Lonchura striata: one gene and its partners. The protein of the gene in region 2 purifies or fractionates together with the protein of the main gene of each other region. This does not show direct contact. Links are inferred from orthologs where the notes say so. Each region holds a gene or a part of one and is shown on either strand. Other genes may lie near its edges. The genes, in order: EXOSC8, MPHOSPH6, EXOSC3 and EXOSC6.

Evidence for each region.
Region 1: the proteins of MPHOSPH6 (region 2) and EXOSC8 purify together in Homo sapiens (affinity purification with mass spectrometry; 4 studies listed by BioGRID and IntAct, counting the BioPlex papers as one, with this or other methods). This does not show direct contact. The link is inferred for Lonchura striata from reciprocal best matches to the Homo sapiens genes MPHOSPH6 and EXOSC8.
Region 3: the proteins of MPHOSPH6 (region 2) and EXOSC3 purify together in Homo sapiens (affinity purification with mass spectrometry; 6 studies listed by BioGRID and IntAct, counting the BioPlex papers as one, with this or other methods). This does not show direct contact. The link is inferred for Lonchura striata from reciprocal best matches to the Homo sapiens genes MPHOSPH6 and EXOSC3.
Region 4: the proteins of MPHOSPH6 (region 2) and EXOSC6 purify together in Homo sapiens (affinity purification with mass spectrometry; 3 studies listed by BioGRID and IntAct, with this or other methods). This does not show direct contact. The link is inferred for Lonchura striata from reciprocal best matches to the Homo sapiens genes MPHOSPH6 and EXOSC6.

Annotation. Positions count from the first base shown.
Region 1 is NC_134604.1:65,417,963-65,425,664, forward strand, and holds the start of EXOSC8 (exosome complex component RRP43), read right to left. Parts: upstream 3,064-7,702; 5' UTR 3,044-3,063; coding exon 3,027-3,043; intron 1,362-3,026; coding exon 1,325-1,361; intron 317-1,324; coding exon 253-316; intron 1-252. Other genes in the region: ALG5 (dolichyl-phosphate beta-glucosyltransferase), read left to right, coding at 3,264-3,347, 4,360-4,501, 5,343-5,389, 6,059-6,127, 7,355-7,447. UniProt on the Homo sapiens protein: Non-catalytic component of the RNA exosome complex which has 3'->5' exoribonuclease activity and participates in a multitude of cellular RNA processing and degradation events.
Region 2 is NC_134615.1:19,495,081-19,502,402, forward strand, and holds the start of MPHOSPH6 (M-phase phosphoprotein 6), read right to left. Parts: upstream 3,053-7,322; 5' UTR 2,978-3,052; coding exon 2,927-2,977; intron 1-2,926. UniProt on the Homo sapiens protein: RNA-binding protein that associates with the RNA exosome complex. Involved in the 3'-processing of the 7S pre-RNA to the mature 5.8S rRNA and play a role in recruiting the RNA exosome complex to pre-rRNA; this function may include C1D.
Region 3 is NC_134609.1:7,919,372-7,927,202, reverse strand, and holds EXOSC3 (exosome complex component RRP40), read left to right. Parts: upstream 1-4,813; 5' UTR 4,814-4,827; coding exon 4,828-5,094; intron 5,095-5,181; coding exon 5,182-5,331; exon of another isoform or gene 5,332-5,361; intron 5,362-5,874; coding exon 5,875-6,026; intron 6,027-7,440; coding exon 7,441-7,642; 3' UTR 7,643-7,738; downstream 7,739-7,831. Other genes in the region: DYDC1 (DPY30 domain-containing protein 1), read right to left, coding at 802-882, 2,212-2,322, 2,455-2,601. UniProt on the Homo sapiens protein: Non-catalytic component of the RNA exosome complex which has 3'->5' exoribonuclease activity and participates in a multitude of cellular RNA processing and degradation events.
Region 4 is NC_134615.1:16,645,865-16,652,546, forward strand, and holds EXOSC6 (exosome complex component MTR3), read right to left. Parts: upstream 2,202-6,682; 5' UTR 2,128-2,201; coding exon 1,309-2,127; 3' UTR 611-1,308; downstream 1-610. Other genes in the region: AARS1 (alanine--tRNA ligase, cytoplasmic), read right to left, coding at 2,337-2,522, 2,778-2,891, 4,273-4,359, 4,823-4,942, 5,219-5,332, 5,987-6,095, 6,519-6,682. UniProt on the Homo sapiens protein: Non-catalytic component of the RNA exosome complex which has 3'->5' exoribonuclease activity and participates in a multitude of cellular RNA processing and degradation events.

The DNA of each region.
Region 1 (7,702 bases), on a different chromosome or scaffold from region 2:
CATACAGGTGCAGAATTGACTAATTACACTGTGCACGTTAGCCCAGGAACAGGACTGGAAACAATGCTCAAGGATATTATTGTACCACATACTCTTTTTCATCCTTATTGAAACTGTAAAGAAAAATCCTTCCTCTTCCTGGTTTACAAATGCAAGAACGAAGAAAACCAATTAGTAAGTCATTAAGATCACCACTATAACCTGATATTAATAATACCTCCCCCATTATGATTATTCCACATAAGCACTTGCCTATGTTGACAGTGGTTGTCCGAAATTCACCTAACTCTCTTCCATCAGGCCGACAGTTCTCCTTCTAAAGAAAAATTACAGATTTCAAATTAGAAAGCATATTTTATCAAATAACACAATAATATTTTTGCTACAGAACTTCATAAAAAATGAAGTTGTCTTCTCAAAAATGCTAGGGAAAACTCAGTCATACTTTAGTTGGCTTTTCATCAACTGATACATAGTTTGTGGTTGTACACGTGCAAAAAAAAAACCCTGATTTTTAAAATTAATTTAAATTTATTTAGACAATACAACAACAGACTGATTGTCTAAAGGGTAGGTACTACAGGAGGCTAGATTAAGAACATTATCCAAGAATGAACACACACTGGTAAACTTAAAATGAAAGTTTCTACCTGCCTGCATTGTTTAGTGGAGCTCTTAAAATTAGAGTGAACTAAAGAAAACTAGAAAATCCAGCATTCAAACACCATCAGTCAGAAGCTGTACAGCACATAACCCTTATGTTAGAAACTGAAACAATATTCCGTCATTTTAGATCTGACTTGTCACTCACAACAGTTTCAAGCTTTTCAAAAGCAAACACTTTTGGCTCAATTATGAGAACCAAAATTTGCAATAACACTGGATCCATTTCTAAGTCAATACAACTTCAGTAATAGCTGAACTAATTTAAGGTAACAAAACTAAGTGGTTTTCCTCTGCAGTTACATTTACTGCTGTATGGTTAGCAGTAATAGTATCTGTTACTAATTTTTGTAGCATCTAAAAACCTGGTTTGATATAATTTTGTACTAGGCAAAAACCTGCATTACCATCTTGGTCAAATTAAACTGAACTCCTTTCAAGACCAAAAGAAGCAAGGATGAAAAAGCATCAACACCATAGATGGAAAGAAAAACACATTCTGAAGAGCACAGATGTTTTTTGCCTGCTCAGACAGTTTTTTTTGGGTTTAGTTTTTTCAGTTTCCATTTCCATAGCTTTAGATTTCCATACAGACAAGTTAGAAGAGCAGAAACAAGCAAGAAAAAATTCACTACAAGGAATTTATACATGATTCACTCACCAAAAACCTCCTGTAATATTCCAATGGTTCCACAGTTCTAGAACAAATAGAAAGAGAACTTCAAATGTAAGCTCCTGAGTAAGCAAGATGCACAAAAAAAAAATCTGGAAATCAAGATGCTTGACAAAGCTGCTTACCAATACAGTTAAAGAACAATGAGGAAATTTTAAAATAATCTAAAAAAAAAATATGTTTTCCTAAGTTCAGTCCCAAATTGTTCATTCCATATAAGGAAACTGCCTGCACATACACTTAACAAAAATTGCTAGCTTTCACTTCAGTAATCCTATTAGCTCTAATCGAAAGAAGTGTTTAGTGACAAATGAGTCATTAAACACTTTGCCTTTCAAGGAATGCAAAAATGAAAATTTTACTACAATGTGTGAAATATCTGTAAGTCCAAGGACTGCATTCAGATGCAGAAAATTGTATAGATTTTTTTAATTATTCAGTTTTTCTTAGAATCTTTAACAAAATACAAAATATGCTTCATGCAGTGCTTCAGATGAGACATAACTGATGCTTATTACTAATCATACACTAGTAACAGTACTTGTGCATTAGTATTTTATGCGGGAATCATTAAGGAAAAAAAAAGCTTTTAAAAAAAATGTTGCCAATATTTAAACAAAGCATTCACAGTTTTGTTAAAACAGTGCTTCTGGGACAGGGGTGGAAAAAAAAGTGGAATAGGCAAGTTTTCCAAATGCAAACTAAGATACAGGCAACACGAACATAATGGCCAGCATGAATGGGCTCCTGCTGGCTCCACACGTGTTGGTCCTGTACCACTGGATTATAAACCCAACAGAAGGTCTGTTGTTTTACAGTTCAGGTAACAGCACTTGCTAAACCTGGCTTGATGCTTTTAAGCCATACAATAGAATCAAGGATGCTGGGACAGACTACCCAGAGAAGCTGTGGGTGCCCCGTGCCTGGAAGTGTTCAAGGCCAGGCTGGATGGGGCCCTAGCAAAAGGTGTCCCTGCCCACGGCAGAGGGATTCGAACTGGATGATCTGGGAAAATCCCCTCTGACCCAAACCACTTTACTATTCCAGAACGAATAGTTATAAATGGGAAGTCATTGAATTCCTTACCGTGTTAATTTCCTTATAATTCTATCAGCTGTGTAAGGGCAGGTTTAGGTCGGACAGTAGGAAAACATTTGTCGCCTAGAGGGTGTCTGGGCACTGGACCTGGAACTTCCCCAGGGCACAGCACCAAAACTGCCGGAGTCCGAGAAGCGCTTGGATAGCGCTTCAGGCACACGGTGACTCCTGGGGATCCTGCACCGGGCCAGGAGCTGGACCCGCTGATCTCTAAGGATCCACCTCGGCGCAGGCTGCAATTCTGCTACCAGGCAGCTCCGGGCCTCACCGAGCTCCGCTCGGGCTTTTTGCCGGGTCTTTTCCCGGCTGGCCAAACCCCGCTCGCTCAGTTTTTCCCGCAAGCGTCGGGGCTCCACAGCCCCCGCGGCACCGACCGCACGCGCCGGGCCCGAGACCGGATAAAGCCCACGGGGGTCCCAGCGCGGCCGGGGCGGAGACCGGATAAAGCCCACGGGGGTCCCCCCGCGGCCGGGGCGGAGGCCGGATAAAGCCCACGGGGGTCCCCGCGCGGCCGGGGCGGTGGGGACGCCGGGTGCGGCGGGACCCGCGGGGCGGGCCCGGCGGGACCGCGGCCGCCGGGCCCAGCACTTACTTGAACGCTGCCGCCATGGCGGTGCCGTCTCCGCCCCGGATGTGGCGCCCCCTGGCGGCCCGCTCTCCCGGCCGCCTCCGCGGGCGGACCGGCGGCGGCGGCGGCGATGGGGGCGGCGGCGCTGCCGGGCGCTGACCGCCGGGGGGCGCCGGCGGCTCCCAGCGGCACCCGGCGGGCGGCGCGGCCGCTTCCGCGTCGCTGTCGCGGCGCGCCGGGGCCCCGCGGCTGCCGCGGGCGATGGCGCTGCCGCCGCTCCCGTCCCTGCCCCTGCCCGCAGCCGCGCTGGCGCTGGCGGCCCTCGCCGCTTTCCTGCTCGTCCTGGTGAGAGCCGCGCACGGGGGGCCCGGGGGCTCCGTGGCGGGGGCGGCGCGCGAGGCCGCCCCGTGCCGCCCCCCGGCGCGGGGCAGCGCGGTCCGGCCCCGCCCGGGGTCCCGCGGTCCTGCCGCGCCCCGCAGGCCGTGGGGCCGGCCGGGCCGGGCGGCTGGAGCCGGCAGCGCTGCGCTTCTGCGGGGGGTTGTGCGGGGAATGTGCTTCGGCGGGGCGTGGGCTACCGTGCCTGGCAAAGGGGGCCAGGACGGAGCATTTCAGCCTTACCTTACGTGTTGGGAAATGTCCTGGTAACGCCTTCGCGTTAACCATTTGGGAAGTTGCTGTGTTTCTGCGTATCCGAAATGTCGTGCGAGATTAAGAAGGTCGAGCCCCTGGAAAGCGAAATTCTGTTGCCTGTCCACAGTGCCACGTATGCATCCTGCCCAGGGAGGTGGGGGAGGCACCGTCCCTGGAGGTGTTTAAGGAAAGACTAGACTTGGCACTGGTCTGATCGATACGGTGTTGTTGGGGCATCGGTGATATCAGAGGTCTTTTTCAACCTAAGTTATTCTGTGTGTGGTATCGCCAAGTAAAAGTGCTACAGAACCCAAGTTCTACCACTTTTTTTTATCCACGCATAAAGCAATCAGAGCCTTAGTGTTGCAAGCACACATGGCTGTCTGGTCGTTGATTTCAGCTTTGCCATTGATTTCAGTGGCGTGGTGGGGGATCAGAGGCGGCACCTGCTTATGTGCTCAAGGTTACTTGGGGAAGGAGCTCGGACCACAGCTTTGGAAGCATCTGCATGCTTTGCAGTTAAAAACAGCAGCAAGCCAATGATGCTGACAGTGGTCAGAGTGGGAGTAACCAAACGGCATGAGAGAGTTTTGGTCCTGTGTGAAATTCCACAACAGTGACCCACCTTATTACTGAAATATACTTAGTTGCCCCTGGTAGAACATTTAACAACTAAATAAACTTTTAACAATGCTTGACAACTTTTTTCATTTCTTCTTCATCACAGATTTGTGTAATCGCTCATGTAACTGCCAAAACAATGCCACACGAAGATGCTGAGTGCAGGAAAGGATCTGCACCAAATATTCATGATCCTGCTACAAGAGAACTCTCTGTCGTTGTGCCTTCATACAATGAGGAAAACCGGTGTAAGATTTTTCTAGTTTTGAGGAAAAGAAGAAAAGCTATCTGTTGTTACTGTAATAATGCAGAGGTCAGTTGCATTAGCAGTAGATTCTGGCAGACCAGATTATGTATCAGATTTTGGACACAGTTTCCAGAAAACAGTCCAAGTACATTGAATTTCAAAATTAAGGCATAGTGGAACTTGATTTCTACTGCTAAAAATAGCATGGAGCACTTGTAAGAATCCTCTTAATTTTAATGAACCCCAGAAGAATGGCTGTTCATTGCCTCTGCACATGCTGCAAGGCAAGAAGTAGTAAAATACTTTTAAATTGAGATTTTCCCACTCTTTAAACAACTACAGCAGCTTCAGACAAGCAGAAAAAGGGATGGTCTCAGGGGTTTGTGTTTGACTTGGCCATAGATAGGAGTACCTGATACTGAGTGAAGGCTTTTAGATGTGATAGAAATAATCAAGCTCTAAAGCTGATGTGGCAGTACACAAGCTGACAGCTTGTTTAAATAGATAGTCAGTGGTGCTTTGCAGTGTCAGTCATAAAGAATTATTTTTTTTTTCCTTTAATGTTGTGCAGAGAATTATATACTTTAAAATATAAAGTTGGTTCCTCAGAATAAAAGTTTTTATGCTTTCTTTTTATCACGTGTGTGATTTTCTTCAGTGTTCTTTCTGCATTCAGAAAGGACAGCACTTAGAGTTGCAGCTGCTAAGCTTGTTTACTGAAGGTAGTGTTGTATGAAAGAGTTGATTTGCTCAGTCTTGCTTTGTGGCTATTTTCAGCTTGCTTGTGCAGGTGCTTTTGGTGTTACAATCTACTAACCTGACTTCCTCCACCTTTTCTCTAGTACCACTTATGATGGATGAAGCTTTGGATTATCTAGAAAAAAGACAGGTATTTTCTTTTTGCATTCAAAATTCATTATTTTCCTGTGTATTATATATAACAAGTTGGTAATCTAGTCACTTTGTTATATTAGTGTACATTAAAACAGTAGTACTTGGCCACTTAGAAATAATGCTTCTGTCTCTTATCAGTAATTTTTAGATCAAGTGCCAGAAAGGATTTTTAAATTAAGTAAAAATTTAGTATGCTACTATAGGATGAAACAATCTTCATATACATGAAATCTGCCCAAGACAGAGCTAAGGATTAACCATGCATTTAACTTTCTAAACTACGTCCTGGTTTGTTCCAACAAGTTTCTTAAGCATCTGTTCTTCAATAGAATTTGTTCCCTGGGTAAGAAGCTCATTGTAAAAGTTTGTGGATTTTGTTTTGTTTAGGTTTTTTTAAAAGTTATGTTTTTCTGAGCTTCCATCTTCTACTGCTAAGTTGATTTTTCAGTTCTAGATGGTAGCATGACAAGCCAATGTTACAGTACCTGCATCAAATATGGCAAAATTCTGTAGCTATGCCATCTTACCAAATTTACTGCATCATATTAGTATCTGTTGGCAACTATGAATTTGTGGTAGGGAGAAAAGAATAATGATGTTTGAAAGACCTACTGCCTACTTAAGAAATTGGATGAAATGCATTATTTCTGCTTTTATTTTCAAGAAACAAGATCCTTCATTCACTTATGAAGTGATAGTGGTTAATGATGGTAGTAAAGATCAAACTGCAAAGGTAAGAAAAAGTAATGTCTTCCCAAGCAATCAGAGGCGTGGAATTTTGTTTGGATTTTTGTATCTTTGTGGAATATAACAGTGGTTTATATTTATATTTTGGTACTTGAAATAGTTGACAGTTGAAGTTCACATATCTGAATTATCTCTGTCATTGCATCATGGATGGCACATATGCACATGAATGCACATACAATTCTTCTGCAAATTCTAGTTTTCTTGATTGGCAGCTGTGACAGCCATTTTCCTGCAGCTGTGGTTCTAAGAATTCTAATCCTAACTTCAAGAAATTTCACTTGAAATACTCTACATGTGCATAGTGATGATGTGAATAGGAATTTGAGGAAGCTAAAAAGACTTTTAAAATGTCTCATTCATACTGTGACAGAACAAGTGACACAGTTCTTTCCCACACCCTTTTTGGGATTGTTAATTTAAAAAACCATGTGCTAGTATTAGTATTTTCTGTAAAAAAAAATAGTTCTGTATTCTTCTGCTTCAATTTTGATCTATGTTACTGGCAAGGAAGGCTAGCCAGCTTGTGGGTTTTCTTTCCTACTGCTTGGAAGATGTTTGAGGTAGAGACTAAAATGTATATTGCTTTAAGAATTGCTGGTATATAATTTTGACTGCTGTGCATTCTTTCTACTATCTCTTTCAATTGAGCATACAATGGCTGCAGCCCTCTGGACATAAAAGACCTCAAGACAACCTTTAGAAAAAATTAGGAGAAAACTCAAGCTTTCTCTTCCCCACAACATATACCAAAATGTTCAGATCCTTGCAGTGTGAATATGGCTTTAGATCAACATGAATTTTTCTTCAAAACCACAAATAGCAGCAAGACAAGTGAGAAATAGATGGCTGTCATAGAAAATTGTATTTCTTTTATGAACTATTGGTGTTAATAGAAAAGATCTGTAATAGTATGATATAAATTAAATTAGGATTGAGTTTCATAGAGGTGGGAGGATGGGGGTTGAATTGCTTCGGGAAATATCCTGTTCTTAATGAACATTACTTCATTTCTTCAGTCTTCTTGTTTTAACCGTGGACTGTTTTTTATTTTCCCAAACAGGCTCCAGCGAACACTGGCAATGTATTTGTGCCGACTGAAGTGGTTATAGCTCTGTGCTATTAATTTATTTTCTTTTGAAGGGTGAGCAAATGTACACTTGTCCCTTGGTTCCTAGTTTTGTTTTATGCTGGCTTTTTGTGTATCTGTCAGGTTGCAAAGGAGTACTGCAAGAAATATGGAAGTGACAAAGTGCGAGTGATATCTTTGGAAAAAAATCGAGGGAAAGGGGGAGCAGTCAGGACGGTAATTAATACTTTCATCTCCTTCTCTGTTTGAAGTACCTGTGCCCAAATATGCAGAAGATAGAGCTGTGCTGACTGACATTTTGAATTCAATGCATTAACAAATGGATCAGGCAAAAACTGAGTACAGATTCTATAAATTAAAGCAAAAATTTTTTTCAAAGTAAGTTTATTTTAGATCTTGGTAGCAGTGTTGTCTTTCCAGAAAGATCAACACCAAAGACTTTTTTTAATACAAGAATTCAAAGTGGAAAAA
Region 2 (7,322 bases):
TCTGGCAAAATAGTTGAGACCAAGAAGGAAATTTACGGCAAGTCTGCTGTTTTTTTCTAATACAAGGACACTCCTGTCACTTGCTTCCTTGGTGATAACCTCTGTCAAAGGATGGGAACAGACAGGTAAAACAGTAACCTCTCAACAGCTGGGAGTAGAAGAAGACATCTGTCACAGCCTATAAAAAACTGCTGAGAGCACAGAACTACAGACCTGAGACCTGTGAAACAGCATTTTAATTTCCATTTGTCTCAAGTCAGGTGCCTGAACTGAGTGACAATTAAGTCTAAACAATGTCAATGAAATATGCTGGGAAAAAACATGACTCTTCAAAATTTTATGGTGATAATCCATATAATCCCACCCTCCTGGAAGTTGAGACCTCCCTGAGGATCTACAGAAAGTGGTTGTATAACTGTACCTGTCAGAGGTCTACATTTATACCAACCTAACTCCCAGACAGTGGCAAGTCTAACAATACAGTTCACACACAGTCCTTTAAGAATACATAGGTGGTACAGGTGTGCAATGTATTATGAACAACCCACATGTATTTTCAGTCTTTACAAAATGCCCAACCAAAACAAACTCAGAAGTACGAGCCAACAGAGCTAGTGATTTATTTTCCATTTCTATTTCTATTTGCATCCACTGTACAAGATCTTTAATGAAAGAAAAATTGACTTCTGTTTTCTGAGTCGATTCAGAATATGTCAAAGCTTTCCAATTAAAATTACAGTATCTTCTTGAGGAAAATAAGTGAATCTATCATGTGGAAAAACATACTGCTCGAGGAAATTGGTTAGCCAGTCAGAAACCTCAACACAAGAAATTCTGCTACAAGAACCCAATTAAATAATCATTTCACACTCCATTTTAAAGATTATGTTGCCAAAGATTACTACAGGAAAAACCTAGATAAAAATTATGTGATCAGGTTTCTCTCTAATGTAAACACACACTGATGAATTAAAAATATACCCGCTGTGGTAGGCACGGAATATATAAGTCAGTATCTGAGGAGCTGTTTGGGTGTATTTCCCCAAGCTATGAGACCTGGACCAAATGGTACAAGATCTAAAGTCTGTGTCCATTTGTCTCCAGTATTTATTGCAAATGGTCCTTCCAACACCACCAACCACATGTCACCTCTGGGTGCCACATGGTAATACATTGGATCACTACCTGCAGAGGCAGCTGCTAAAGGCTTAATTAAAACATTTGTAAACAGGAAGATCTGCAGAAACAAAGTGCTAAATGCAAGATCTGTGTATGACCTTTTCAAAACCTACTGATCTCTTCAAAGCTGGTTATCACTGCCTTGACTGTGAACCTGCAAATGTCATGGCAGCATATGCACATGGCTGGTTCTCCATGGCCTTCCAGAGAAAAACAATAAAAAAACCCTGCTTTTGAAATCTCCAGGGGGTTAGTATAGTGGCAAAAAACAAAGAAAAATTTCATTTTAAAGGAGTATTATATAAAAACAAGAAAAAAATAATGATGTTGCCATCCAGGTTATGGGAGTCTGACTGACCGTGTCACATATTGCTGGCTGACTCAAGTTCAACATCTACTCCCTTTTGAAAGCGAGGCAAGATGTATTTTATTCCTTCTGTGTACAAGTTTTAGATTTAGAAGTATCTATTAATTAGGGTAAATATTCCATCATCCAACTGTAGCAGCGTGCACTTTATGTGAAAAATTGAACTGAAGCCAGCTAACTCTTTTTTCAGCCAGAATGTGAAATATAGGCCCATATAAATACGTAGGGAAAAAATGGCTAAATAAAACACCACAAGCAAGAAGCCACGAAGGCCCCATCATGTTCAGTTAAAAAATTGAATATTAACATTAAAAAAAAAGTACTCAACTTTTTCTGGTTGTTTTCCAGCAATAAAGGACCATCAATCAGAGAATGTACTCTACTGAATTAGGAGTTGTAGTACATGGTGTGAAGCACAATGCATTAGCCAGTGAGCAGAGACTAATTTCACACTGGTGACATGAAATTCACAATACCAAGGGCAATAAGCACATCGGGATGTTACTAAGATCCCTGGCATTTATGAGTTGGGAAAGCTGGTAAATACTGGATATTAATCCCCATTCAGGCTGGGATTTCCTTAGCCAGCAAGGTAAAAATGCTCACACCAAAACCTAAACTTCTTTTCCCTCAATACTAAAAGCCCCACGCAAAGCAAGCAGCATTGATACCTTTATTTCAAAGTGCTGTTGAAATATTTTTATCTAAACCCACAACAACCAACCCAGAGGCAGAAGAGCAAGGTGGAACGAAGAACTCCCAGAAGATGCGCTGGAGCTGGCCCTGGAGCCCAGACTTTTTCTGGCACCAGCGATGTCTTTGCCGGGGCAGCAGCCCGAGATAACACATGGATGACCACATCTGTATTCAGCGCCTGGCTGAGGAGAGCCAGGGCTCCAAGTGTGGCCGGGATGGGCACGGGAATGCCCCACACCAGGGCTCCAAGTGTGGCTGGGATGGGCACGGAAATGCCCCACACCAGGGCTCCAAGTGTGGCCGGGATGGGCACAGGAATGCCCCACACCAGGGCTCCGTGTGTGGCCGGGGATGGGCACGGAAATGCCCCACACCAGGGCTCCGTGTGTGGCCGGGGATGGGCACGGGAATGCCCCACACCAGAGCTCCAAGTGTGGCCGGGATGGGCACGGGAATGCCCCACATCAGGGCTCCGTGTGGGGCCGGGATGGGCACGGGAATGCCCCACACCAGGGCTCCAAGTGTGGCCGGGGTTGGGCACGGGAATGCCCCACACCGGGGCTCCGCACCCCGGCCGCGCCTCACGGCGCCGGGCCCCGCTCGCCACGGGTGCCGGCACGGCTCGGCCTGCCCCTGCTGCCCTCCGGGCCGCCGCTTCCAGCCCTCCCCTCCTTCCCCCGTCACCTTCATGCGCAGCAGGTTCTTGGACAGCTTGGTTTTCACCTCCCCGGCCATGGCGGCCCGCAGGCCGCGGCGGATCCCCGCGCTCGCGTAGCGCCGAGGCCGCGCACGCCGCGGGAGGAGCGGGGCGCGGCGGCGGCGGGCTCCGCCCTCCGGCCGCGGGCACGGGCCGCCTCCCTGCCCACGGCCCGGGAGCCGCCGGGGCCGGGGGGTGCGCTGCTGGTGCGAAACCAGCGGTAGAAATAAACTTTACGGCTGTGCGGGCTGGGGGATGTGAAAAATGCATATTTTATGATTGGCTTTTCGCAAATATTACTATATGTGTAATGTTAGAAAGTTATGCTGTATTAATTCTCTTAAGTAGCGTGTTAAATATAGTTTTAGGTTCCAACATAATGTTAAAATAGAGACTGTATGTGGGGGGAATTTTTTCTTTTAGCAATGAGATACTTCATTTAACACCTAAATCTTCCAGAGAAAAGGAATTTATGGTTTTCTTATCAGAAGAAGCTAATTTCTTCAGGCCTTGCTCAGACTCGAAGACGCCTTGGGGATTATAGGAAACAGTTGACATACAACAGACAGAGTTCTTGTTTTAAATAGAATGTATGCATAACCAGGAAGGTTATATGAATATGCAACAGGCTATTGATTTTAAGGTTATTCCTTTGCTCACAAAGGATGCTTTTCCTGACTTAGTGTCCGAGAGCATCTGGACGTCCATAATTCTTTGTTTTTTATTGTCTTGTAATTGTCCTAACTCTAAACTTTATTACTCTAATTGTATTACTATTTTTATAACCATTTTATTATTATTAAACTTTTAAAATTTTAACAACGAAATGATTGGTGTTTTTCACAGGGAGATCGGGGGTGTGAGCAGGACATAATTCCGCTCTGGTATGACATGGTAAATCAGTATGTGAACATGCCTTATCCATGCTTGTGTGTTGTGTAGTACTGCTGATGCTTCATCCATAATTTTCTGATATTTCAAAAAGAGTATAAAATTCTTCCCACACTGGTATTTGGAGACTGCTTGACTTTATAGGCGTTTATTTTTTTACAATCAGCACTGACTTTTATTAAAAAGAAAATCACAAAACAGTCAGATGTGATTAAAACTGGAAAACACACAAATTGAAAGATATTACAAAAAGTCTCAAAGCTTTGTTAGTCCTGAATCATGATTTGTGAATTCAGTGTAGGCAGCGCTGGTGTTGGACTGCCCTGCTGGGCATGGGGAGCTGAGGAGGAAATTCTGATAGGGAATTGCCAGCTGACTCCCAGTCAGAAGCATGTACCACAATTTTTCTATATATCCTCATAAATCAGATTTCTGATGCCTGTTTTGACATTTGGCACATAAACTGGGTGATAAAGCAATAAGAGTGAGGGTTCAGCATTCAAAACTTTAATGAACTGGTGTGCTCCCAAAGACAATTTAGGGAGAAAAGTTCCCGTATATGCAAGATGTAGGTCAAAGCTTGAAGAACTCTGTAAAGATTTATGCTCTAATAGACTCTACAGAAAGGTATAATGAAGGACAAAACCTGATTGCAGTGGGAAAGGAGGGAGAATTATCCACATCCAGGCATCCTTATTACACATTTAAGCTCAGTGGACTAAAATGACACAAATGCCAATGAAACATGGAGCCACAAATGCTTCAAGGCAAAGTCATAACACTGCGTGAAAATATTTAATTTTCATGTAGGGAAGGCACCTTCACTCCCAGGCTCTGTAAATGAGTTGAAGCTGCTCTGAAGTTCAAGGCCCCAGTGAGAAAGTCACATTGTGAGTGTGGCAGCTGTGCTGTTTGGCTCCTTCTCTGTTCCCTTTCCCATTAACAGCTATCGTCCCTTCCCAACAAAAGAAAGCTGGGAAGAAATTTGCCATTTTCTGAATACAAATGTTCATCAAAGAATGAATATGTTTGAATCTTAGTGAGCAAACCAATAGGGGAAAGCTGTTAATTAATGTAGTGGCACAGTACAGCCAGAATCTGTCATTTTTGGTTGTATGTTCTATTTGCCATGCATTTTAATAATGCATTTACTTTTTGTTGTTCATTGCAAATCAGAGCCCTGTGTTAAATTGCATGACCTTCAACGTCAGGGCTTTTCTGAGCAGTTGCAGTCCATTTACAGTCCGGGAATGTACTTTGAATGATTTCTTCTAAATACTGTGCTCTCCTCAGCACTTCTGCAGCCATTGCGCTGTGGTAGAGCCTGGCTTTGCTTGGTGGCCTTTTCAAGAGCTGTTTCTGTCCCTCCATCCTGCAGAACATCCCAGCTCAACAATTCCTCAGCAGACTCTGCTCACAGCCTGTTTGGGATTTGGGCATTGCACACCACAGTTCCTCTCTACCTTTCTTGAGAAGGAGCATCCTGCCCCCAAATTCTCTGGGAGCTGCATTCTGATAATTTACATCACCATGCAATGTCTAACTGGGATGGGGGGAGTGCAAGGGGTTTTCACCTTATCTAACCATGAAGATTATTCCTGGTGCTCCCTGGTCCCCACTGCACCCCGTGTCTTGGTGCTGCACCCCAGGCTTGCACAGAGTTTCTGTCACTGTCTGTTGGCACATCAGCTAAAAACCTGCCTCGATACAGGCAGGGAGAAGCATTTTGCAGTAAAAGCAGTATAGGTTCTGTGATGTTTATTTAGAAAAGTGGAGACTGTAAAAAGGCTGCCAAAGAATGTGATCTATTTTGGCAGTAAAAAAGCCCAAAGGAAATTTTTGGGTTGCATCTCCCATCACTTGAATTGGATGGGGAGGTTATAGATAACAATCAGCTGCCTTTTGGACCAGATTATGCTGTCTGGTAAATGTGAAGACAGTCCATTGATTGCAGGAGAAATTTTTATGATTTACTGGTAGTTATGGAGGTAACTCAGAGAAGAATCCAGCCCTGTAAACACACCTGCTTGTGGAGTGAGGGTGAGAAGAGTTGGGAGAGAAAAATAATCTCTCTATGTTTAGAGAAGAGACAAGGGTCATTGTAAATGACAATTAGATGCTCTCCCACAGCTGAGTGCTGCACAGCAGCTCCATTTTCAACCTGGAAACCAATTTCTTTTTCAAAACAAAAATACTCGGGAAATAACTTGGGGGAAAGGAGTTCCATCTCATCAAAGATTGTACATTAAACAAGCAGATAAAAGATTTTTCTTCCTAGGAAATGTGGTCTCTTCTCCCTCTAGTAATTACAAAAGTCAAATCAAAGTTGTCATTAACATTATTTAAGGAGTAATCTCTCTTGGAGCAACACATGTGGCAGCTGTGAAGTAATTTCATGCCAATGGGATCTAATTTGAGGGAACTCATGGCTTACTTTTTCCATAACTTTTTATTTATTATTATTTTATTACTGTAGTAGTGTGTCACTATAGGACACGTGAAAGTATGAATAGCAGCAAGCTGCTGCTATTGTAAAGGTAACAAAGAGGAGGTTTTATTTCTGACTTTAACATTTATGTTTTTCTAAAGGTGACACTGGATTGGAGGGTGAACATACTACCTCACCAATGACACTGGATAAACTACTAGTACATCAAATATCTCTGCCTCTATGAAGGAATGTAAAACAATAGGTTATTTACAGAAAATTGGTGAGAAAGTTTTTTACAAGAATGTAAACTCAGAAGGCTTATAAAATCTTAAAAATCAGGGATACAGTAGTGTGATTTTAGCGTTAAATGGGTATCTCAAACCTTACAGCAATCCATCAGTTGATTTGATTTGATTTCTTATGAGCTGTCTTTGAATTCCGAGGCAGCTTTTTACAGCTCTCAGAATACCTGAAGCCTTCTTCCCCTCCTTGCAAATATCAAAATTCTTGAAGTATGACAGGGGAATCATTAATTTGTGTCAAACTCCTCCACTGTGTTTTAAGTAAGGACATTATGTGTTTTTCTCTATGAATGAGGAGAAGAAATTGAGAAGTGGAGCTGCTGGAGATCTGTTTGCAAACCTGAAAGGAAGGCGTGAAGCGCTGCGTGTGGCTGGGTGTGACTGGGAAAGCAGTTTTGTCCCCTGTGCTGCACGGAGAGAGTGGCAGTGGTGCCATTTTCATGTGGAGGACTCGTTTTTTATCTCTCCTACTCCCACCCTGCTCTGAGCCGCTAATGCATCTGGTGCATGGATGTCGGAATCTGAGGTATTGATGATTCCGAGATTGTAAAAAGTCTCTCTCTTTCATTGCCAAAGAAGTCATAATTCATCTGTGCTGGTTTAAAGGTTGTTTATTCTGTTTATCTCTAACATATCTGCTGCCCTGCCCAGCTCTGTCCTGCAGGGCAGCGTGTGGGGCTCTGCCCTCAGTGGGATGTGACAAACATTAAATACCAGAAACTCCCTGGGCTGGATTTACAAGAACGTGCCAATATCTGT
Region 3 (7,831 bases), on a different chromosome or scaffold from region 2:
TTAAAATGACATTATGTATTAATGTAAAGAGAACACTTTAGATAAGTTCTATACAAATTTAGTAGTACAGGAACATGGTCTTGGTATGCTTAACCCTGTTTTTTGGTTTTTTTTAATTAAAAGCAATTTAAGATTTTCACATATTCATCTTTTCTGTCACTTTCATATACTCATCTTCCTACAGTTGTGTTTTGCCAGTATTTTAACAGCTTTCTAAAAACTTAGGTTCCTAAAATACTCTGTGCTCTGCAGAGTTTTTAAAGCTTTATGGAGATAAGCATGCCAATTATCCATGTATGTTTTTACTGAAGCAGCATTAAAAGACCATAAACACGGATAAGTGTATACACACTCTTCTGTTGGTACAAATTCCCATACACCACTAAGAAATCAGAATCCAGATGCATTGCAATTTCAAACCACAGCTCTTTTTCCAGGTATAGTAAATGGATTTTGTGCTAACCCCCTGTAAAATATTACTGTGTTGGTACTTAAATTAGACATTCTTATTTTAAAAAACTTTCAATACCATCAAGAAATGTGGAAGCATCAGGTAAGCTGACCTTATACTGGATTTTTGCAGTAAATTTATGTTCTGTTGTGACCAAAATTCAAGTATAAAACTCAGACTGCTGAAGCCACGTTAAGACATTTCCCCCATCTACCTACACTCCTGTTTCTTTATTTATGTGTTAGTTCAACACCCATGGGTTCTGCTTTGTGTTTTGTATTTGATGTCTGCTTCTGGAAAAATGACTGATAAATGGTATTTTCAAACCACCAAGTAAGCATTGGTCAAACCTCTTGATCTTCCTGCTGCAACTGCATTTCAGCTTCTTTTTTCTGTGCTTCCAACTCTGCAAGTTCTTTCTCCAATTGAGCCTGCAATCAGTTTAAGAAAGGACAAATTATAAAGGAAACAAGCCCCACATTTATCTTTTTCACCTCATTGTTTACAAAGTATTTAATATTGAAATAAAAAAGTAAACATAAAACATAACTGCTATGTTATGCAAATAATAAAGTCCTTTCAGTATCATCTGGTTTGACATTTTCAAAGGTTTGAGACTCTTATGGATAAAGAGGCTTTACTACCAAGAGGAAGATAAAGCAGTTAAGTGAAGTTAGTGTACACACTTCAGATCCTGTCTCATTACACAAGCTCTTTATCAATCTGTATTAGTTATCTCCTATCCTTTGGATTAAGCTCTTTGATACTTTGTGTAGCACCTAGCACAGATGGATGAATCAATATAGAATCAAATCTATAGAAAAATTTGGCAAGCAATGTCATTAGCATTAATCATGTCCATCAGCAACCTTTAGTACTTACAACTGGAAATATCTAACGGGAAGTGTTTATTAATTGTGAACATAAGTCCTATCACATCCAAACTTCAGAAACTGCATAATCTAAGTATTTACATTCAACAACCTTAGCAAATACTATTTGCTCTTGCATTCTGTGAGTAGTTACAATTATGGTCATAATTTTCTATTCCTTTATGGTACATAAAAGCAAAATTTACCTCAATATTTGACTACAGCCAAAACTGAGTTAGGTTAAAAAAAAAATGTATCTAATGTGAGTATAATTCTCAGTGAATTATCTCTGGACACAATCTCTTTATTTTCATTTACTATTTTATATCACTCATGAAACCCTTAAGCACATTACTCTTAGTTTGTAAATTACTAAAGGCCAAATTTTAAAACTGCAAACGAAATAAAATGAATGCATCTTACACTAGAGCTGGGCATAATGTGATCAGCATAAATTTAAAATTAAGCTTTTGATTTTAACTTTATGAAAGTCATCCATACAAGAAAACCAGTCAGGTCACACCAACATCACTATGTCAACACTGAGTTCATATGATTCCTTTACAAAGAATGGCTAAAAACACAGATATTGTATTTACTTCTGATACTGTAAGCCCAAACAGTATTTTCAGTTACTTCTCACGTAACTCCTAAATTGGCTGCCTTTTAACTTAACAGCCATCATTTTTTAATAACATTTTACTCCATAGTATGTAACTTTTCCTACCCATGTGCTGACTAATAATTTTAGTTACTCAGAAAAGTGAGATTGAAATACTTGCTTTATGCCACCTTTATCAAAATCATTATATAGCTATTAGAAGTATACAAAGAGCTCCAAGATGCCACAGCACCATATGCTGCTTGGAGTTATCTATTATTAATAACCTGACGTTGTTCTTCAAGTTTCCGCTGCTCTTCTTCCTGGATTTTTAACCTTTCAAGTTCTGCTAGGGCTGCCTCCCGTTCTTGCTCTATCTCAGCTCTCTCCAGCATTCTCTATTTCAGATGTAACACAGAATCAATTAAACATAAAAATGAAAGATATATTAAATAGCATCAACTATATTGTAGCAATCTTTTTTTTTTTCTTTTTTTTTTTTTTTTTTTTTTTGCCTAAGTTAGATCTACCTTTTTTTCTTCATCTAAGTTTCTTCTGTAATTGTAAATCCAGTGTGCAAGATACTCTATTGGATCTGCTGGCCGATGCTCTACAACCTCTGCCAGTCCCTTCTTCAAACAATTTCCCAGGCATTGCTTCAGATACTGAGACTCCATCCAAATCTACTGACAATAAACAGACAGACATTAGACATCAATGTTAGAATTAAGTTAGGGGCTCTAAGAACTCTTGCTTCAGGTGCCAAACACTGATTATGACAATACTTTTTACTAAGCCTTCAATTTATACAAGAAAGTTATTTAGCAGTAATTTAGCTCTTAAAGGCGCCAGTGACAGCTCAGTTATAACAATCACTGCAGAAAAAAAAAATGCTTAAACCCCACCTTATTGTTTGGACATGTATAATTCATAAAGTACTTGGAAACACACTGCTAATTCTAGGGCTGCATGATAACAAAAAACAAAAAAAAACAAAACAAAACAAAAAAACCAAACCAAACCAAAACAAAACAAAAAAAACAACATTGAAAAGCACAACAGGACATTAAAAACTTCTATGCAGAGAACAGGCAACTAACTCTGAGGACAATTAAGGGTAATTTTAGTTTGAACTGTCAAAGCTATCTTTAAGAGATGTGTGCAAGGCGAGGGTCTGAACGCTCTACAGTTACGAAAGGCACAGATCTCTGCACACACTCCACCAGCCCAGTCTAAGTACACAGGAGCCGTCCTTTGCTGCCAAGGGGGCTGAAAACGTGCCAGGGCAGAGAGCCCAGGCAATGAATTGACACAGTGACTACAGCCCATCCTCCGCGTTCACGGGGGCTCCAGGTGGCCTTAGTGTGCCCACCCTCGTAACCCGGAGCCGCCGCCCACGCCCCCCTGCCCGGGCTCCTCAGCCCTGCCCCGGGGCGCGGAGCCCGTTACCCGCCTCCCTCACACTCCGCCAGTCCCCGGCAGCCGGTGCTGCCTGCTCCGCTCTGCTGTAGCCGCCCGCCTTCCCTCGGACAGCAGCTCCCGGAGCGCCGGGGCTGCAGCCCCCGGCCCGGCCCGGCCCCGCTCCGCTCCTACCAGCGCGCGGGGTTGCTCCGCAACAGCGGCGGCAGCGCAGCGGCCCCAGCGCCGCCCGCAGGAGCGGACGGAGGGGTGAAGGGCCTGGCCGGAAAGGTCCCCGAGGGCACAAAACCGGGAGGAGAGGCCGAGACCTCAGAGGGTTTTGTGGCCCTTGAGAGAGACTTGAAAAAAATGGAGTTGAATGAGCAGAGAAGAAACTGAAATTCAGCTATGGCAAATGCAGGGTATTGCACGTGGGGAGGAATAATCCCAAGTGCTGGGGGTAATCTGCTGGGGAGCAGCTCTGTGGAGGAGGATCTGATGGACAACAAGGTCTTGCAGCAGTGCCCTTGTTGCCAAGAAGGCCAATGGTACCCCCGGGTGCATTAGGAAAAGCACTGCTAGCATGTCAAGGGAAGTGAATCTGCCCGTCTGCTGAGGTTCTGCCTGGAGTGCTGTGTCCAGTTCTGGGCTCCGCAGGGACAGAGAGACATGAAGATCTGGAGTGGGTCCAGCAGAGAGCTATGAAGATCATTAAGAGACTTGGGCATCTCTTATAAGGAAAGAGAGAGCTGAGCCTGCTCAGCCTTGAGAAGAGATGCTTGATAGAGGACCTTATTAATATGTATAAATATCTAAAGGGGAGGTGCCAAGCTCTGCTTCGTGGTGCCAACCACTAGGACACCAAGGAATGGGCAGAAACTGATGCATAGGAAGCTCCATTTAAACAGGAGGCAGAACTTTACTTTGTGCAGGTGACCACACACTGGAACGGATTGCCCAGAGAGGTTGTGGACTCTATCTAGAGATACTGAAAACTGTCTAGATGCAGTTCTGTGCAACGTGCTCTAGGATGACCCTGCTTAAAGCAGGGAGGATGGGCCAGATGACCCATTGTGATCCTTTCCAACTGTTTTAATACCATCTGTCTGTGAGCAGTTTCCCTTCACAACTGATGTGATCTTTTTTGCTCCCTGCCAAACTCATCGGCTGACGGTCACCTCATATTTACCAGCTGTTTGTTTTGCTGTCAACTTCTAATCGGGTATTCAAAACCCTTGTAACTGCAGCTGGAAGAATTAGCTCCGTGTGTTTATTAATTCCGACGCGTAAGTGCGAAATGAACATCACCTTGGCCGCCCCCCGGCAGAACTGGAAGGCGGGCTGCTTCCCGCAGGAAAGGCAGGCGGCTGGCGGAGGCGCCGTGAGCGGCGCGGGGCCGGCTGCAGCTCGGGGACCGGCCGGGCGGTGTCGCTGGCGCGCCGCGGCCGCTCCGCGCAGGGCGCGGGGCGCAGGGCGCAGCCGCCGCCCCGGCCCGAGGCGCGGCCATGGCGGCGGAGCGCGGCGCGCCGGCCGAGGCGCTGGTGGGGCAGGTGGTGCTGCCCGGGGACCTGCTGCTGCTGCCCGCGCACTACGACGAGGACGCGGAGGGCGAGCGGCTGCGGCTGAGCGCGGGCACGGCGCCGCAGGGGCGGCTGCTGTGCGGGCCGGGGCTGCGGCGCAGCGGGGCCGGGCTGCTGGTGACCAAGTGCGGGCTGCTGCGGCACCGGCCCGCGGGCGGCGGCGCCTTCTGGGTGGACTCGCAGCAGAAGCGGGTAGGGTCCGTGTGTCTGTGTGTGTGTCTGTGTGTCTGTGTGTTAGCCCGCGCTCCCCTGACCCTCTGTCCCCCTCGCCCGCTGCAGTACGTGCCGGTGAAGGGCGACCACGTCATCGGGATCGTGACGGCCAAAGCGGGGGACGTGTTCCGGCTGGACGTGGGCGGCAGCGAGCCCGCGTCCCTGTCCTACCTGGCCTTCGAAGGTGCCACGAAGAGGAACAGGCCGAACGTGCAGGTGGGTGCCCTGCTTCGCTGCCGGTGACGCTTCAGCTGCGTCCTTTGGTGGCGCCCGTGTCGCGTTCCAGTGGCTTTTCTTAGGGGAAGTTAGGGGAGGTCTGGTTCTAATGGTTTCGCCTTGGTCCTCCTCAGAGCGTTTTGCACCACTGGCCGCGGCCTCTCTGGGGTTTTTTAGGACCGTAACTAGCGTGGTTTGTTCTCTCTCAGCTGGCTGGGTGCTTCACTCTCATGTGTTGGTTTGCCAGGAGCAGATGCAGTTCATAAGGTGCCTCCGAAAGGGCGCTCCGATGTTAGGGTTTTAAAACGTGATGCTGGTAGAAAATATTAGTTGTGTGGGTTCTTTTAACAGCGCTGTTATGAATGGTTGTGTTGCACATGCATGCCATAGTTTCTGCACTCCCATGAAATGCCATTACCAGAATGTAAAAGGTAAAACTGTAAAGAAAAACAAAATCGGTGTGATATTTTTTATTGTTGTCCTGCTAAATGATTATAAGAGATAAAATCCTGTACTTTTGTTCTTTGACACTGTTTTGTTTAGGTGGGAGATCTTATTTATGGTCAGTTTGTTGTAGCAAATAAAGACATGGAACCAGAGATGGTGTGTATAGACAGCAGTGGAAAATCAAGTGGCATGGGAATAATTGGACAAGACGGCTTCCTCTTTAAAGTTTCCTTAGGTCTAATAAGAAAGTAAGTACTAAAAATGTAATTAGTCACTCTCACGTATAAATTACCACAGCTGTTTCTTCTGAGTAGTGTGGGCAGTTTGGTAAATCAGACTGTGTGATTCTTGTAGTGCGTTGAAACCAGATTTACTGAATAGAGTATGGATTGATCTAGAAGAAAAGTTTATTTTTTCTTTTAAGAGACTTAGAAGCTCTTTTGTATGGTGTTACATCACCTGTTTAAAAATAGTGATGTGGATGCCAAGGCAGTATGGAAAATAAAAGTAGTGTCTTGGGGTAGTCAAACATTCAGGATAGTGTTTCAGCTATGTACATATTACCTTGGAGTTTAAAACTTGGCAATGCTTATTGTCCTTGTTCTGTTTCGTGGGGGTAATAGAGGGTGTATGTTTGGCTGACAGCTGATTAAAGGGATCTTTGCACATCAGTACACATTATTTTCTGACTTCCAAATAAAAATAAATAACATTGAAATACAGATTTTAAAAATGTTGGATTTTAGTTTAAGGCTGACACATAAATCCAGGAACTGTTTCATAAGCTTTTAAATGTATTGTGAACTTTGGAGTTGCTTATGCTGATGTAAATACATGACTTTTTTTTTTGTGACTGTTAAAGTATACCAGATTACATGGATAAACAATAGTCAAAATTTGTTTTTGCTTTTTGGGTGGAGTTTTTTGTTTGTTTTGTCATTCTTTGGATAAGCAATCTGGCACTGCAGAGCAGCTTTTTCATACCTGGCATTGTCTGATTTATATGTCCTATTAGAAGTCAGCATGAACTGATACAAAAGCTTCTTGCAGCCATTCTGTTTTCCAAGTTTTGTCTGTATACAAGTAAAAAAAATAACAGCATATTACAAGTAAACTGCTAAATACTGGTATGCTTTTATTTTTTGTGAATACTTGTCTAATCTTGATTTAATTCTAGACGCATTACAGGATTTAGTATGTTGTCATCTAATAAAAATGAAGTAGGCTATTTATTGCTGTTAATACTGTTTCCTGAAATAGAAGGGAAGTCCTGTTTTGAAAGACACCTCTGGGGTGTCAAATAAATAGCACATCAAAAATGTCATTTGGTCAAATTGTGTACTTTTAGATTTATTTGCTCATAGAATTGTGTGTAAAAGTATCAATTAACTTTAAACTTATCAGGGATTGCTTCTGAATCTAATGACAAAAGTAAATTTATAATGGCTTTATTTTTTTAGGTGCATGCATTTTATATGCCAGGAGCCTTGAAAATCTGATACTGTATTGCTATGTTGGATGTATATAGAACTTTATAATCTTTCAGTGTTTCTTAAATGGCTCCCATAATAGCAGTACTGCTGGAGCTACTGGTCAATAATAATGTGGTCTCTGTAAGCATGATCACTCCTTCCTCTGACTTTTTTTTTGTCTTGTTCACAGGCTCTTGGCTCCCAAATGTGAAATAATTCAAGAGTTGTCACAATTGTACCCATTTGAGCTGGTGCTGGGAATGAATGGAAGAATATGGGTAAAAGCTAAAACAGTGCAACAGACTTTAATTATAGTAAATATTTTGGAAGCCTGTGAGTATATGACTGCACAACAGAGAAAACAAGCGCTTGCCAAACTGTCAGGGAACTGATAAGAGAAAACCTTGAGGATTGTTTGTGATGACTGTAGGGTGTTTTGGTTATTTTTGTATTCAGATTTATATATTAAAAGCCTTTTTTTAAATGAAGTACTCGATTTTGGTTGGTCTTCATTTCCCTTCTTTATCCACTCAGCTTGATTCTGTGTTGTTTAAGGAGTTTGTTTTGACTCGCTTTTGTGG
Region 4 (6,682 bases), about 2.8 Mb from region 2:
AGGACTCTAGTAAGAGCTTTACAAGTGACCCTGGCCTACACCCAAAGAGTCCTGGTCACCCCTGTGCTCCCCAGTGTCCTGTTTCAGTTCCATGTCCCTCATTTCTCAGTTGCCCTTCTCTCACTGGCAGAATTGTGTTCTGTATTTCTAATTTGCTCTGGTAAAAGAGTGTATTGTATTGGAAAAAAAAAAAATTGTATTTCTTTTCTCTGATTATTTGACTCCAATGCAGTTTTTAAGCATCTGAAGTGCACAGTTTTGTACCCCATTTTATGTGCTGCCAGACACAACCCCCAGCTCTGAGGGCTTTCTCGGATGCTGCCTTTCCTACAGCTCAAGCCAGAGGTACGAGTGCAGCTCTGCCCTGTATCCCAATGGAAAATACCCAGAATATTCCCTACCAGCACACCATGGCGCAGCTTGGCAGACAAGACCACCTGCTCCACTCCATCCCCAGGAATAATCAGATTCCAAGGAAGCACCCAGCTCTCCCTGAACTCCTCAAGGACAGTGGGAGCAGAGGGGTTGACCCCGACTGTAGAAGTGCATCTTTCCATCTCTGCTCATGGCTAGCAGAGGCCTCAGGAAGGCCATGCGGGCAGAAGACTCATCAGAAAAAATACAATTTATTATTACGAAAAAATGAACAAAACACAACTCTGCCACCTGAAGCAGTGCCTGGGCAAGAAGTCCAAAGGTTGTGCAGTCCATGCCATTATATGGTTCCTGTCTGGTGCTGCCTGCACAGATGGATATGGTGGGGAGCCTGGAGTGAGGCTTTCAGCCTGGTGCTGTGACCAGCACAGGTGGAGATGTGGGGTCCCGAGTGCCAGCAATTGCTTGGAGGGAGGCCTTGGACAGGCTCTGGATGCTGAGGCAGTATGGAGGTTGTTCTTGGGGAGCTTCAGCAGCATGCAAGGCTGTTTGGGTCCTGTGGTGCCAGTTGAGAATGGTCTCCTGCAACACGAGTTGCACTCTGGGGTGCTCGGGCAGTGTGTGGGGGAAGCAGAGTCTCATGTCCTTGGGCCTCCAGCTGTGTGGGCAACACGAGGGGTCTCCAGCAGTGCAAAGGTTGGTTCGTCCAGTCTCCAGCAGCATGAGGCATGGATCAGGCTCGGTATGGGGCTTCACCAGCAGTTACAGCTAAACTTAACAAACTTTTAAGATTCTAGAAGTAACTTATTTTAGTCCCGAACAGCGGTGTGTGGATCAAGCAGGCACCAGGCGTCCCGGCAGCACTGAAAGCAGCTTGGGCGGGCTCTGGGAGATGCCCACCCGCAGACCGGGGCACGCAGGTCTCACGGGCACTCAGGCACTGGTGGCGGCAGCGGCGGCGGCGGCGTCGCGGCGCTGGGCGGCCCGCAGCAGGCTCTGCCGCAGCACCGGGTACTGCCGGTGGCAGCCATCGAGCCCGAGCCGCAGGGCCTGCGCCCAGTCCTCGGGCGGGCCGCCCCGGCCGCCGCCCAGCACGGCCGACACCTGGTTGAGCGCGGGCAGCAGGGCCAGCGTGAGGCGGGCGGCGGCGCGGCGCTCCTCGGGCTCGGCGGGCTGCAGCATCCAGGCGGCGGCGGGCGCGGCCGGCAGGCACAGCGCGCAGCCCACGGCCAGGTCGTACATCTCCACGCCCGCGTCCGCCAGCGCCAGCGCGGCGGCGCTGACGGCGGCGGCCAGCGCCGAGCCGCCGTCCTGCAGCAGCAGCGCGCTGACGGCCAGGCGGGCCCGCGGGTAGCGGCCCAGCCGCACCGCCGGCTCCAGCGCCTCCCGCAGCGCCGCCGCCGCCTCCCGCTCCGCCTCCCGCTCCGCCGCCGCGCCCGGCCGGCTCCGCGCCCCGCGCCCCGCGAACGGCGCCCGGCGGAACTCGCAGAGCAGCCGGCCCGGGCCGGGCTCGGCCGCCTCCCGCGGGCCCCAGGCGGCGCAGAGCACCTTGGTGCCGCTGCCCAGCTCCACGTAGGCCGAGCCCTGCGCCTGGCTCAGCAGCCCGGCCCGCGCGAACAGCGGCCGGAGCGCACAGGGGTCCCGCGGCGCCGCGCCCTCCCCGTCCTCCTCATCCTCGGCCGCGGCCGCTGCCCACAGCGCCGGCGGCTGCGACTCCTCGGGGCCGCGCAGGCGGCGGTGATCCAGCGGCATGTTCGGCGGCACGCCGGGAGACGGCGGCGGGGCGGGCCCGGGCGGGAGGCGGGCACAAGCCGTGACTGGCAGCGGGATCCCACCCCAGCCCAGCCCGCCCCGCCTGCAGAGCCGGGGAGCAGAGCGCGGGGCAGGGAGCCTTTATTACAGCAAAGCCGCGCAGGGGACAGGGAGGGAGGGAGACAAAGGGACCGGGGTTCTCCCCTCAGTCAGTTCTTCAGCTCCCCCAGGCGGAGCCTGGCAAAGTCCGTGGCCAGTTTCAGGGCTTCCTGCAGGCAGCCCACATTCTTGCCTGTTGCCTGTGCAGAGATGTCCTTTCCACCGCCTTTTCCGTCCATCAAGCCAGACACTTCCTGCACCCACTGGCTGGCCTTCAGGCCCTTATTTGCAGTCTCCTGAGCAGGAAAAGAAACCCAGCAGTCAGCACTGAACAGCGATCACCCTGCCCCATGCCTACCACCCCATTAAGTCCTGACTCTTCCCCTTCCCTGTTTGCAGAGCATAACCTCTCTTCCCTCACTTCAGCAGCCTGAAAAGGCTCTGGGTCTTGCCAAACCCCAATCAAATTGGGCAGCGTAACGTTCCTGCCTGGAGGCTGCAGCTCCTCCACAGAGGCTCAGAGAGAGGCAGGCACACAGTCTTGGCATTACCTGGGGTACTTGACACAGGCAGGTGATCCTGCCAGCTTCATTATCCACAGCAAAGAGCATAGCAGCAGTCTGGGGGGAATTAGTCTTGAAGAGTTTCAGAGATTCATTCAGGGCCTGGAGGAGAACAAAATCATTATATGACTGCCTCTCTGTGCTTGCACCCAGCCCAGCTCCAGCCCCAACAGCACCCACAGAGACTTCAGGGATTAGGAATTGCATTAAACCAGCTAGCAGCACTCTGCAATGCTCGTCCTCCCAAACATCAGCCATTTTCATATTCCTGGCAACGTCAAAGCCTTGGCAGGGGACATAAACCCTGCCTGTGTACCCCAAGGCAGGAAGGAGAAAATGCTTTTATTTCCCCATCTTGAGACATACAGCAATTAGCAAAATGAGCTCCAGAATAAATCTTTGCCTGAGTGTACTGGCTGGAGGGAAAAAAGCTCTTCCCAGCAGAAGGGAACAGCTGTTCCAAAGGGAGTCAAGAGTACTCAAACGCAGTGTGAAGAGCCTGCAAGGGTTATCAGACACAGCAGGCAGGGAAGAATCAGGGAGACTGCCACACATTCTATTATTCTCAAGGAGACCATCATCCCTCACTCACACAGACAGCACGATGCAGCACAGAGCCCCAGGAATGGGTCCTATGGTGAGCAAAGCAGTGCTGCTCTGTGTGGATTGGGAACATGCAGCTCCCTGGGCTGCAGCACTGCCATCCCATGGGATGCACCCTTCTGCCAGGGAAAATGCTGCAACAGCACCCACTGGGAGCAGAAGCATGGGTATCATGGTGATGCTGGTGGCCACAGAGAGCGAGCAGGATCAGCTCCAAGACTCTCAGAAAGGAAATTTTAAAAGAGCATTAAGCCCAGAGTGGTCTAAGCCCAGGCACAACCAGCTCCCACTGCCTAGCACCTACTGGGCTCAGCACTGTGGCACAACACACACAGCAGAGCATTCATTCCAACAGAAATCACTTGGGAAAATACTTGTGTGTGGAGGAGGGAAGGAGCAGATTCAGCCCTGGCCAGGGGAGAACTTTAACTCAGCTGAGCAGACAGTGCTGGGGCAGCTCTCTGCTTGGCCCTGTCCACACTCAGCCCAGGACACCACGCCTGGAGCTGATCTGCGGGGGCCACAAGCATCACAACTTCCATGGCTTAGCAGAGCTGCTGCTCTCAGTCCCTTAAGTGCATTTCAGTGTCATGACTGCTGCAGGATGAGTCTTAGCTGGGACATAATAGGATTTCTGCTGGGCTCCCTATCTACCACCAGGTCTGGAAACTCAGCAAGTGGTTAAAACCTCACCACCCCAGCAAGTCCATGTGCCAGTCCAGGAGGTGGGACACAAGAGAAAATCCCAGGTCTCAGGGATGGCAGGTGGCAAGAGGGACAGCTCTGTAGAACTGAACCACATCCTCAAGTGATGACAGACCACTTAGCTGCTCCTCAGGCTGAAGGAAAGTTGCTGAGGACAGATCAGACTTTCCCATACCTTTGCTGAGGCTCCATTTTCCATTTCCATGATGACCCATGGCTGGTTAGGGTGACTCTCAATGACTTGCTTGGTCTTCTCCAGTACCTGAGGACAACAGTGGTCAGCCACTAAATCATCCACACTGTGTATAGAACCACCTGGGTGGAGCAGGGACAGAAGTCCCCAGGCTGCCCAAACACACCCAAAAGCCCAGCCTGGAGCAGCCTCACACTATAAAGCCAGGAGGAATGTACTCTGACAGGCAGGTATGTGGCCTGCAAGACAGCATGTCGAGCATGATTCCTCCTCCAGAAAACTCCAATGGGATCCAGGAGGAAACCTGCACCCAGGGCCACTGTTAGAGCAGGAACAGGCTGCTATGCTTCAACCCAGGGGATGGGCACAGAGGTAATTCTGCTTCAGGAGGCAGCAGGAGAAGCTGAAAGGCTGAACAGTTTGAGGGGCATGCCCATACATCAATTCTCTTCCATCCTGAACACTATCAGAGCTCCCAAAGGAGCCCCCCACAGGCCTCCCACCCTGTCCTTTATTCCAGCCCACAGCTCACTCTTTTCTGGATGTCGGCTTTGCTTGCTCGGTCCAGGTCATCCATGACCTTCTTCAGTGCTTTAACAGCCTCCCTCAGTTCATCTTTCTGCCACTGTGGGATAATAGCAGTGGCCAGAGCCTGCAAAACAGGAGCAGGTAGAGAAGGTTAAAGGTGCCAGCAATCATGGCAGGAGATGAAGCACCTCATAAACTCTGCCTCAGCTGGCAGAGCCCAGTAAGCTCCACTCCTCTCCCAGTGCCAGTGACCCGAGGAAAGAGGTGCTGGCTGCAGCACCCATGGGATGCAGGGCTGTTGGACAGGAGCAGAAGGTGAACTCAGGCCTCATTAATACCCAGTTCTGGCAATCAAGGTCCCTTTCACTTTGGGGAGGCAGAGTACTGCTACCATCCTCACCTCACCAAGATCTGTGATCTCCTTCTGCACGTCTTTGTTGGGAGCAGTCTGGACCTTCACCTTGGCCTCCAGGGCTGACAGCAACTTCCTGAGGCTGTCGACTTTCCTGAGGGCCTAGGAGGATACAATCTGAGTTAAATCAAGCTGGAAGATTGATCAGGCTGGGGTTTTGGTCACTCCAGTGTGAAGAGGTGAAGAATGCTGGAATGCCCCAGGATGGAGCTTAGTAACTCTCGGAAAGCCACTGGGCCAAAGCAGGCAGCATCTGACCAGAACCAGGGTGTGATGGTGGCACATGGGCCCCAGGTCTCTTTCCTTTGCCAGGATTGCCAAGATCCCCCCCCAAAGAGAAATAGTCTTCCCCATGAAACCCCTTTCTCCCACTTTAGGGAGCACCAGGCCACATCCAAAGTCATTGCCTCCTGCAGCACAGAACTGGATTCTCAGACTTCACCACTCTCCTGCTGGCCCTGCCAGCTGCTGAGAGCTCTACACCAGCAGCCACTCTGGAAAGCAACCTGAGCTAACCCTGGAGCCATCCCACACACCCACCCAGGTTTCTCTGCCACAACACCTACAGCTGAGACTTCCTTCTCTCTTCCCTGCTCCGACTGTAGTACAGCCAGTGTCTCCAGAACAGTCTTTGGCAACAGCAGCACCCTTTTCCATGAGTCCCTCAGAGGATATTGTGCAAATTTGAACAAAATGAACTTTGGCACAGGGTTAATAGGTGGAATTTCACAGAGGATCTCTCCTGCCTACCCTTACCTTCCGAGCTTCAGCCCCGGTGACTGCAACTATCCTCCGAATGCCTTTAGCAATTGCTTCTTCTGAAACAATCACAAAGGAGCCAGCATGGCTGGAGTTCTGCAAGTGCCTTTGGAAAGAACCCAGACAGACCCACAAGAAAGAGTTAGAAGTCCACTTCTCATCTCAGCAAGAATCAGCAAAGAAAAAATACAACCATCATGCCAAGGAAATGCAGCAGTGTGGGGACATACAGAAAAAACAACCAGTGCTGAAAGCAAATGAGTGAGGAAAGGGTGGTAAGACCTGTGTTCCCAGCACTGCCAGAGACCCTGTGTGAGGTCATGGGCAATACAGGCAGTTTCCTGCCTGCAAAAGGTAATTTTAAAGACTGATTGACTCAGGACTGGGAATGCAAAGACATCATCACTACCACCTCCATCTCTGCCCTGGCTCTGCCCAGTGAATGCTCATGACACTCCCAGGAGCTCAAGCTCCACAGGAACTCCTTTCAGCCACCCTGCCACCTTCCCCAGCCTTTCTAGGCACTCACGTCCCTCCGCAGAACTCAATAGAGGTGATGGAGCCCCCAGGGCCAGAGGGGTCAGCCAGCAGCTCCTCCACAGGGATGCCAATGGACACCACACGGACAGGATCGGGGTAAGTCTCGTCAAAAACTGCCCGAAGTCCTTGGATAGCTTTGGCTTCTGCAAGAGG